Linked DNA regions of Drosophila melanogaster. The gene in region 1 interacts genetically with each later gene. Each region holds a gene or a part of one and is shown on either strand. Other genes may lie near its edges.

Region 1 (5,329 bases):
AGTAAAGTTCACGCTCTTTACCACTCGAACGTTTATTTACTTTACTTGATTTTGGAATTAATTAAACGAACAAACAAATCGCAGGCAATGCTTATTTAACATGTTAACTTGTTAGGGTTTGTTGTGCATGAGTTTTGTCTTCGATTTTATATTTCAAAAATTTGTATTTGTCAATTAACTTCAATATACTGTGCATATATATGCTCTGCTGTATGTGCAAATTATTTATGTGCACATAGAATCGGAAATAATATTTATTTATTCGGCACTAAGCGTACACCTACCGCCAACCGTTTTAATTCACGCGCCAACTCAGACTGAAAAAAATTCCCAAACAGCGGACGCTGAGCCGCAGACTTTTAACAGTGAAAGCAAAACGCTGTTAAAGATCGAAATCTATTCGCACACAGAGGGAAGTGCGCTACAGAGCGCTTCGTCCGTCGAAATTGTTGCTTTCGTTGACCTCCGACCCGTGGTACCAGAAAGGGAAAACATTTCACAATAAGTGCACTATTTATAAACACGGGATGTGAAGGAATATCTAGGCTTTTTAATTCAACAAACTACGTTAAGAAACAGATATATTCAAACCACGGGCTCCTGTCAAGCCCGCGACAATACACTTTTAATGCTTAGTTTTAGGTTTATATCTAGAAGTACACAATGGGAAATAAATATATGCTAGACAGGCAATAATTTCTTATAGAAAGCAACCAAATCACCCAATGCTTTATGTATTTAACAGTCCCCCAGGCGAATAGAGGGCGATTAGAGTATTTCCAGGTCCACATGGCGTATTTCCGGGAATTGTGTCTGTTAAAATTTAAAGTATATACGTTTAATAAGAATAACTAGATTATCATCCATTTTAGCTAACCCGCAAGTTCATCTCAATGCGATCAATTTCGCCGCCCATCAGGTCCACAATGTTTTCGCCTTGATCCAGCAGAAAGCTCTCCAGATCCTCAACCTTTTGAAAGCCTCGAACCGTCTGCGGGGGTAAACAAAAACCGGTCAATGACAGGCCCAGAAATGGGTCAATACCACGTACCGTGAGCAGTTTTGCGAGATCCTGTTTGTCCAGATACGAACGGGTCAGCTCACGGCCGTCAAAGTCGAGCTCAGCCTATGGAAATGAACTTTAGTCTCATTGAAGCCCTTTAAGAGCAAGGTTTTACCTTATACCGAACCCGAGCATTGCCAATATCGATTCCCTTGACATCGTAAATCGCTCTGATCATTACATCAGCCTCCAAAGCAGAGTTAATCTTTTCTAGGCGCTCGGAAGCAATGGATATCCCCACCAACGCATTGGCATTTGTATAAATAATAAAAGAGGCCACAGCGCCCAGAAGAGCACCTATAACCAGTGAACCAGCGGCGTCGAAGATGGGCGATCCTGTGTAACTACTTAATCCCATGCAAGCTGCAGCCACCATAACGCCAGTTACCGCTGCAGCGTCTTCACACAGCACCACATTCACGCACGGATCCTTGCCAGAAATCACTGTAAAATAAGCATTATGATTTATGTTCATATTACACATGCTAAACTCACCATAATCCTTAAAGGACATATTGTTTTCCTTAGCCGATCGCTTAAGCTCATTAATGGCCACCACCAATGTGGCTCCCTCAGAAACTAATGATCCCATCAAGATACAGTACACCCAAAATAGATCTGTTATGGGTTCCGGATGGAGAATGCCATCAATACCGTGGTATATGGACAGGCCACAGCCAACGCAAAAGATGCCAACGCCCGAAATCAGCGAGGAAACATATCGCATGTTCATGTATCCATATGGATGATCTATATCGGGACTCTGAGAGGACTTGTAGATGCCAAACGCGAGGATGAGCTGGTTGATTAAGTCGGCCAAAGAATGGATAACTTCTGCAAACATGCTGTGAGAACCGCTGTACAGCCAACCTCCTGCCTTGAAAAGCAAATTGGCTGCATTGCTAGAAGGAACAGATCTTATTCATAGAAACTTTAGTTTCTTAAGTAATATAACTCACATAGCGATGGCGGTGGCCACCACTTGCCCGGACTTCTCCGACTCCTTTCTGTTGTCGAGCATTACTTTGGTTCGAGATCCCATTTCCCTGCGGTAGTCACGCAACCGCCGTTTAACAGTGAATAGATCTGCGGAGTCATAGACTTTAGCACCCATATTAAAGGTAGAACGGACACAGGACACAAAAACACTTACTCTGCTGGTATTGCTTGCGCTCCACCTCCCGCTTGAGTCGCTCCCGCAACAGATTTTCCTTGGACCCCCACACTTCGACGGCCTTAGCCTCCACATCCCGTCGCCAGTAGACAGTCATGGGTGGCTCCTGCTCGTACGGCGATCTCCGCTTGATCTTGGGCAGACTTTCGAGTTGAGCAGCGGTCAACAAGAAATCGCTGATGGCCCGGTTGGGGGTCACAAAGTTGCGCTCTAGGGAAGCACGATAATCGAATCGGGGTCGCTTTAGAGGAATCACAGGCGCTGGAGGCGTTACCTCTGCAGGTGGGGATGTTCGAATACCTTCTCCCGCCTTTTCAGCTAGCACAGCACCAGACGGAGAATTTTTAGGTGCGCTTTTCACTGTTTCAGGAGGATTCATAACAGAACCAGAGCTCTCTCCCAATCCTACAGCACCAGTTGCTACTCCAGTAGACGTAGAACGTAGATTAATGGCACTTGCGGCCAAAACCGGCTCTTTCACCTTCGTTACCGGTGGCAGATCGGATTTTTCAAACACAATCTCGTTAATTTTGGAGTCCTCGATGGTGGTGCTGATAGACAGGATGCCCTTTGTGGTCTTCACCTCAAAGTTTTTCGTTTCCTTTGGCTTGGCAACTGGACCAGCGGTGGCCTCCTCCTGCACAGGTTTTTCCTTCTTGGAATCACTGCCATTGGCGCTGCAGCGAAACTGAAGGAACGTGCTTGGTCGCTTCCACGGCTGTAGTTTGAATGCCTCGCCGTCATGCCGCCTCCAAGGGTTCCTGCCGTCTTGACGTAAGGAGCACTGGCTAAAAGCCTTTCCCAAGTGCTGGTGTCTTCGCTGCAGGATCTGCACGCCGCGCAACAGCATCCTGCACTGGAAAGGAATACATATTAGGCTTATCTCTTCCACACATATGGTAATGCTTACACGGCGCGCTGCGTCACTATCGCACTATAGATTCCAATCAGTTCTTTTCTATTGTGGGGGGTGCTCCGTGGTTTCTCCTCTAGCGCAAAACTACGTCATGCGGGCCAAATGGAACGGGTGCAAAACGAATTGCGGTTGTAACTACTCCGGATAGGGTCGCTCTGTGGAATGCTCCAATCGTTCCTGGGGCCACAATCCTTGGAGCGTTGAGGGCGTACTTGCAAATATGCTTTAAATATACATTGGCGATTTTTTATACTGAAAATTTAACCATCACCGGCTGGCGCTTTTTGCCTGTGCTTTGGCCGTTGATGTTGTGGTTTTCTTTTCATGCCGAAACAGCTTGGTCACACTTACAGAGCTTATCAATTGTTCTCACTATGCAGCATTTTGAAGAGTGGGAGACGCAAATAAATACAAAGATCGCAAATCTAAAAATTCGTACCATGAAAGCATTTATTATAATTCTTATAAAGCGGCTTATCTTTATATCCATATACATTGATATTACTATTTTATATATTTGGTCAGAAGAATGCCGTAAAATGTTAAAGCAGTGTGAACAACCGCGGTTATTAACCGCCTTGGTGTCTTTAATACTGTTATCGATAGTGGCTTTAAGCTTTTGTCAGCACCAGCGGCAACAGCTGTTTTCTGCCGGTCGTTTTATAATCAGCTTATTGCCTTTTCTTGCTTTCTTTTTATCTGTTTTCAACGTTAAAATGTCAATGTTAATAAAAAGAGCGTCTGGTTTAGCTCGACAGTTAGCCCGGCCACTTGTTGCATCACGTAATTTGGCGTCGGCAGCGCCCTATGGCGATGGAACTGAAGTTCTCGTGGAGCGTTTGGATGGAGCTCGGCAGGGTATCTCAGTTATTGGCCTAAACCGACCAGCAGCAAAGAATTCCTTTAGCCGGGGAATGGTGGAGACCTTCAACGATGTCCTGGAAGATATAAAGAAGGATAATGGATCGAGGGTGGTTGTATTGAGGAGTCTGAGCCCTGGAATCTTCTGTGCCGGAGCGGATTTGAAAGAGCGAAAAGGTTAATCCTTAAATATTTTACATCCCTGTGATAAAGCTAACTTATCTTATACATATATCCCAGGCATGACTCCCGAGGAAGCCACCGAATTTGTAAAAGAGCTCAGGGGACTGCTTATTGCCATTGAGCAGCTGCCCATGCCGGTAATCGCCGCTGTGGATGGAGCTGCTCTCGGCGGAGGTCTGGAAATGGCTCTGGCCTGTGACATCCGGACTGCTGCTAGCGACACGAAGATGGGTCTGGTGGAGACAAGGTTAGCCATCATACCAGGAGCTGGTGGCACCCAAAGACTGCCCCGCATTCTGTCCCCTGCTCTGGCCAAAGAACTCATTTTCACGGCACGAGTGTTTAACGGAGCAGAGGCGAAAGATCTGGGTCTGGTTAACCATGTAGTGAAACAGAACGAAACCCAGGATGCCGCCTATCAGCAGGCACTTAAATTGGCAGAGGAAATTCTCCCGAATGGGCCAGTGGGCGTGCGAATGGCCAAACTGGCCATTGACAAGGGCATGCAGGTGGACCTGGCCACCGGCTACTCCATCGAAGAGATCTGCTACTCGCAGGTGATACCCACTAAGGATCGTTTGGAGGGACTCGCTGCCTTTGCCGAGAAGCGGAAGCCCGTCTACAAGGGGGAGTAAATAGATATCGTGCCACTCCCCTAACGTTAAGCTGAAAATTGCATTTATTATTTAACCTGTTACTGTTGTAGAAACACTTAAGCGGCAAAGTCCAGTTCAATTGTTTTTATTAAAAGCATTCGATCCTATCGAGCTGCCAAATAACTTGAATGACGCTAATTGTAGCTAAACAATTTTTAATACCTGTGATGACGCATCTCAATTTAGACATGGGTGGGAATACTAATTACAGGCATTAAAAACGACCGATCGACATACACTCCTATTTGCATTACATGAATTCGCCCAGCATAGAACTGCAAATTAGATGCAAGGTTCAGCTTGATAGTTCTGTCGTCGAACTATGCGGAAATCGGAATTTCTTGAGAATCCCAGAGTTAGAAACTTTCTATTGTCATGCGAGCTGAGTGTGATTGCATGGCAAATCAACCTACAAGTGGCAGTTTTTATTACCAGATGAGTGTGCCTTCGTTTGTCATTTGTAAAACAGGTAATTT
Region 2 (4,464 bases), on another chromosome or scaffold:
AGTTCGCTGCTACTAAATTCTGCGAAAATAATAGTTTTTCACTGTGAAAGTGGCCCGCAAATGGAGGCAAAATATGAGTGAAGTGCCGCCCCAGGGCTGGGCCATGAAAACAACACCCAGCTCAAGTGGGAAAATGTGAAAATGCGGGCAAAAAACAAAAGCATGCCTTAACCTCGAAAGCAAGCAACTCCAGGTGCTGCTCAATGGTGGTCAATGGGGTTTATTTATGTCTGGGATTCAAGTGCAAGTTGTTAATACAAGCCCGTTTTTCTTTGCAACATTCCAGCCGCCTAAGAAGGACGCGAAGTCTTCGGCCAAGCAGCCGCAAAAGACACAAAAGAAGAAGGAGGGATCCGGCGGCGGCAAGGCCAAGAAGAAGAAGTGGTCCAAGGGAAAAGTCAGGGACAAGCTGAACAACCAGGTGCTGTTCGACAAGGCCACCTACGAGAAGCTGTACAAGGAAGTGCCCGCCTACAAGCTGATCACCCCATCGGTGGTCTCCGAGCGTCTGAAGATCCGCGGCTCCCTGGCCAAGCGTGCTCTCATCGAGCTGCGCGAGAAGGGTACGTTTCCTTACGCTTCCTACCTTTTCGTTAGCATAAATCCTAATGGCACTCTTCTTTGCTTTCAGGTCTGATCAAGCAGGTCGTGCAGCATCATTCCCAGGTCATCTACACACGTGCCACCAAGGGTGATGAGGCGTAAATGAATGTTTTACCTTTTGCCCATCTCGCATCGCCGTAGTCGCACTCGCCTTACAATAGAACTCTGTATCGATAGCACTACGATGCCGCTGTGTGTGTAACGTTGAATAAACTTGCTTTCTTATTGATGTAAGGGACATTTGCGTGATGTTTAATTGATATAAAGATATACCCTCTTATAGAGGGATGTATCACTGAGCGCTGGTTTCAAGATGTCGAGCCGGAGTTATACGGCTGGGAATGTAAAATATCATATAGCCCAAAAACTATTGTTCTTACAAATCGAACAGCTGACGTGCAATATATTTGCAAATCAGGATATCAAGAATTCTTATAATAGCAATTATTATTCATTGCAATGTGCGTTTAATCAAAAATACTTCTAAGAAAGTGAACATTTCATTAATGTCTTTCAAGTTTGTTATCAATGAGGAACTATTTTTAAAACAGCCGCTGAAATGTATTTTTTAGTTGAATTTAGCACTTTGAATGGTTATCATTTGAATACAAACAGTAAAATCATGATTCATTTGCTGTAATTCACATCAGCAAGAATTTGGTTATTTTCACTTATATTAAATAATATTTGTTTATAAAAAAATAACGAATTCCCAATAAGAATTAGTACTAATCTTCTTCTTGCTCTCAAGCCATTCACCCTCTCAGTTTTCACGTGACAGTGAGTACTCAATTGTAACTTCATAATTGACGACAAAATGAAGTCAAAAGAAAAGCCATTGAAGTTTATTAAAGTTTCATTCAATAAGGTATAAAAATTAGAAACTGGCAATTCTTAATACATGATTAAAGTGAAAAATAATAATAATCAAAAGACCGCAATAAATCAAACTTCCTTAGAATTTATACTTTTCAAACAAAATGCCGGAAGATCTAACTAAAAAGCGACCAGTAAAATGAATACCCAACAAACTTTCAGTGGTGCACTTACTGTGGCCATTTGCCATTCACAACGAAGCGCTGCTTTCGTTCGGACGAAATGTTTACGTGGTTACCATTATTTTGATGACAACACGGCAGATTGGTTTGGTGCTGGCAAAGACGGGAGTTCGGTTCTGGTATCTGGTACCCAGTAAAAATGAATTAAGCTGCAGCTGAATCGCAGATCGACGAGCCCGCGCCGCACAACTGCGCACACAAGACGACGACGACGACGAAGTCGCGCAGGAAGCATTTTGCTTGTGAGATAATTTGGGAATCAAAGAAAAGAGACCTGCCGCCGCCGCCGTTGCCGATAAAGATTCTCGCGAACCCGGCCAGAAGCGGAGTGGGAATCACGGAATCAGCTGGAGCGCGGCTATAGCCAACCGATAATACCACGTATGCAAACAAAGTGTGCTTTCTTAGTTAGGTGCTTAGATCTCATGTTGGTCTCGTGCTCTTTTGCAGATCCATAACCGGCAAGATGATACCGCTGTCGCACAAGGACCGGAGCAGTCTGGGCTACCGGATCCGGGAGAAGCTCAACAGCTGGAAACGACTCATCTTCTCCGACCGCAACTCCCGGAATCTGTTCCTCTTTCTGCTGCTCAACCTGAGCTTCGCCTTCGTGGAGCTCTTCTACGGCATTGTGACGAACAGTTTGGGTGCGTACTTGGCCACTAATGGCTTTTTATCTTATCCGCAGTTTATAACCTACTTGATGGTTAATCCGCAGGCCTGATCTCCGACTCATTCCACATGTTCTTCGACTGCACTGGCCTCTTGGCGGGACTGGCCGCGTCGGTTATCACCAAGTGGAAGGCCAACGACAAGTTCTCCTACGGCTATGTGCGCGCCGAGGTGCTGGCCGGCTTCGTGAATAGCCTGTTCCTGTTGTTCATAGCCTTCTTCATTCTGTCGGAGGGCGTGGAGCGACTTATCGAACCGCCGGAGGTCAAGCACGAGCGTCTGTTTGTCGTCTCCGTGCTGGGACTGCTGGTGAACCTGGTGGGCATCTATGCCTTCAATCACGGCGGACATGGACACTCGCACGGTGGACACGGACACTCCCACGGTGGTGGTCATGGGCACGGGCACTCGCACGGCCACACGGACGCCGGCAATCACAATCACCAAGCCATCACCTTGGACAATGGTAACTGCAGTTGGAGATTATATCTTATTATATTGACTAGGAATGGGACAATATTCTAATAACCCCTTTTTAAATCCGCCCATTTCTAGGCCATGGACACTCACACGATCACGACAGCCATGGCCACTCGCACGGCGACATGTCGGGCAGCAACTCGCAGATCATGCGCGGCGTCTTCCTGCACATCCTGGCGGACACTTTGGGTTCGGTGGGCGTGATCATCTCGGCGGTGCTGATGCACATGTTCGGCTGGATGATAGCGGACCCCATTTGCTCCATCTTCATAGCCTTGCTGATAGCGCTCAGTGTGCTGAGTCTGATCAAGGAGTCGATCATGATCCTGATGCAGCGACAACCCGCCGACCTGGACCGATCGCTGCCGCAGTGCTATCAGAAAGTCACCGGCCTGGCTGGCGTTTACGCTGTGCAGGAGCCGCACTTCTGGACCCTTTGCTCCGATGTCTATGTGGGCGCACTCAAGCTGGAGGTGTCCAAGAACGTCGATCCCAAGTACGTGGTGACGCACACACGGATGATCTTTGAGGCGGTGGGCGTCAAGCAGATCTACATACAGTTGGATTATGTTTGATGCCAATGGGATCGACCCACCGGTGTCCTTGTACAATGATCTGTATAGTTATCAGCGCATGTTGAATGTTTGTGGGCAGTGCGACTCAAACATTATGAAATTTTAGTATACTACGGCGCCACAATACCCCGCCCATCACTTCCGAATGTCCCCTCCAAGAGCTAAGTAAAAGAAAGTGTTTGATTTTCAGTTGTACTTTCCGAATTTTTGTTAACTTATTAACGTTTGTATTTGTTGAAATGCGTTCGGCATTCATTCCAATTCTATACATACTGAAAGCATGGCATAACTTATGCAATAGTCCATATCGAGGAGCATTAGTGTAATTGTAAGCTAAGCGAAAGATTTTGTGCAAAGGTAAATATAAATATTTAAAGATTTTTTAAAATTCAGCATGAACAAAACCAGAAAATAGCAACTAATTCTGACTGACATTTCCATGGACATTCCGCCGTGCGGTGGAAGTGCATTTGGTGAATCGTTTTTGCCACAGTTTGAAGCATCAAAATTATGAACGAAATAAAATTTAATTTGTTATTAGCATTTTTATACGTAAACCGAACTGAAAGAAGTTTTAATTCCGGTTGGATGGGTACTTATCATTCGTTTTTTGTTGGGTACAAACAAATAACCAATTAACATATTCGATTAGATTAACCTATTTCAATTATTTACAAAAGATTCCCATTGAAAATAATCTGCTATTGAACTGCCCAGTTTACTACTTCTTTACAAAAATATAATTTAATTTGAAAGACCACAAAATAAACCAGAATTGTATAGCTTGTTGTTCTCCTTATTGTTAAAAAGTTTTCTTGGAACAATACTCCATTTCAACAACGCTTCATAAGAATGGAAAGGTACATAAATAGACACATATGTATGTATATTAAAAACCATTAAATTCAACAATGTATGAGAATAGCGAAGAAAAACTTTTAGCTTTTTATCCCGAAAATGGTTCTATTTCAACTAGATTCAAATACTTGAATAAAATATTCTTTACAATTTTAGGAAAATATATTGTGCTTTTCAAAAAAATTGTTTTCGAACATCAGACAATATCGCCGTTCGCC

Evidence for each region. A genetic interaction does not mean that the proteins touch.
Region 2: of ZnT49B (region 1) and ZnT86D, changing one enhances a phenotype caused by changing the other (phenotypic enhancement), as found in Drosophila melanogaster (one study listed by BioGRID).

The regions. Positions count from the first base shown.
Region 1 is NT_033778.4:12,650,946-12,656,274, reverse strand, and holds ZnT49B (zinc transporter 49B), read right to left. Parts: upstream 3,471-5,329; 5' UTR 3,148-3,470; intron 3,094-3,147; 5' UTR 3,088-3,093; coding exon 2,217-3,087; intron 2,165-2,216; coding exon 2,023-2,164; intron 1,966-2,022; coding exon 1,559-1,965; intron 1,508-1,558; coding exon 1,179-1,507; intron 1,127-1,178; coding exon 1,052-1,126; intron 992-1,051; coding exon 878-991; intron 814-877; coding exon 769-813; 3' UTR 532-768; downstream 1-531. Other genes in the region: CG8778 (uncharacterized protein), read left to right, coding at 3,870-4,191, 4,255-4,832.
Region 2 is NT_033777.3:11,211,792-11,216,255, reverse strand, and holds ZnT86D (zinc transporter 86D), read left to right. Parts: upstream 1-1,716; 5' UTR 1,717-2,042; intron 2,043-2,111; 5' UTR 2,112-2,127; coding exon 2,128-2,308; intron 2,309-2,379; coding exon 2,380-2,799; intron 2,800-2,888; coding exon 2,889-3,388; 3' UTR 3,389-3,948; downstream 3,949-4,464. Other genes in the region: RpS25 (ribosomal protein S25), read left to right, coding at 287-563, 632-705.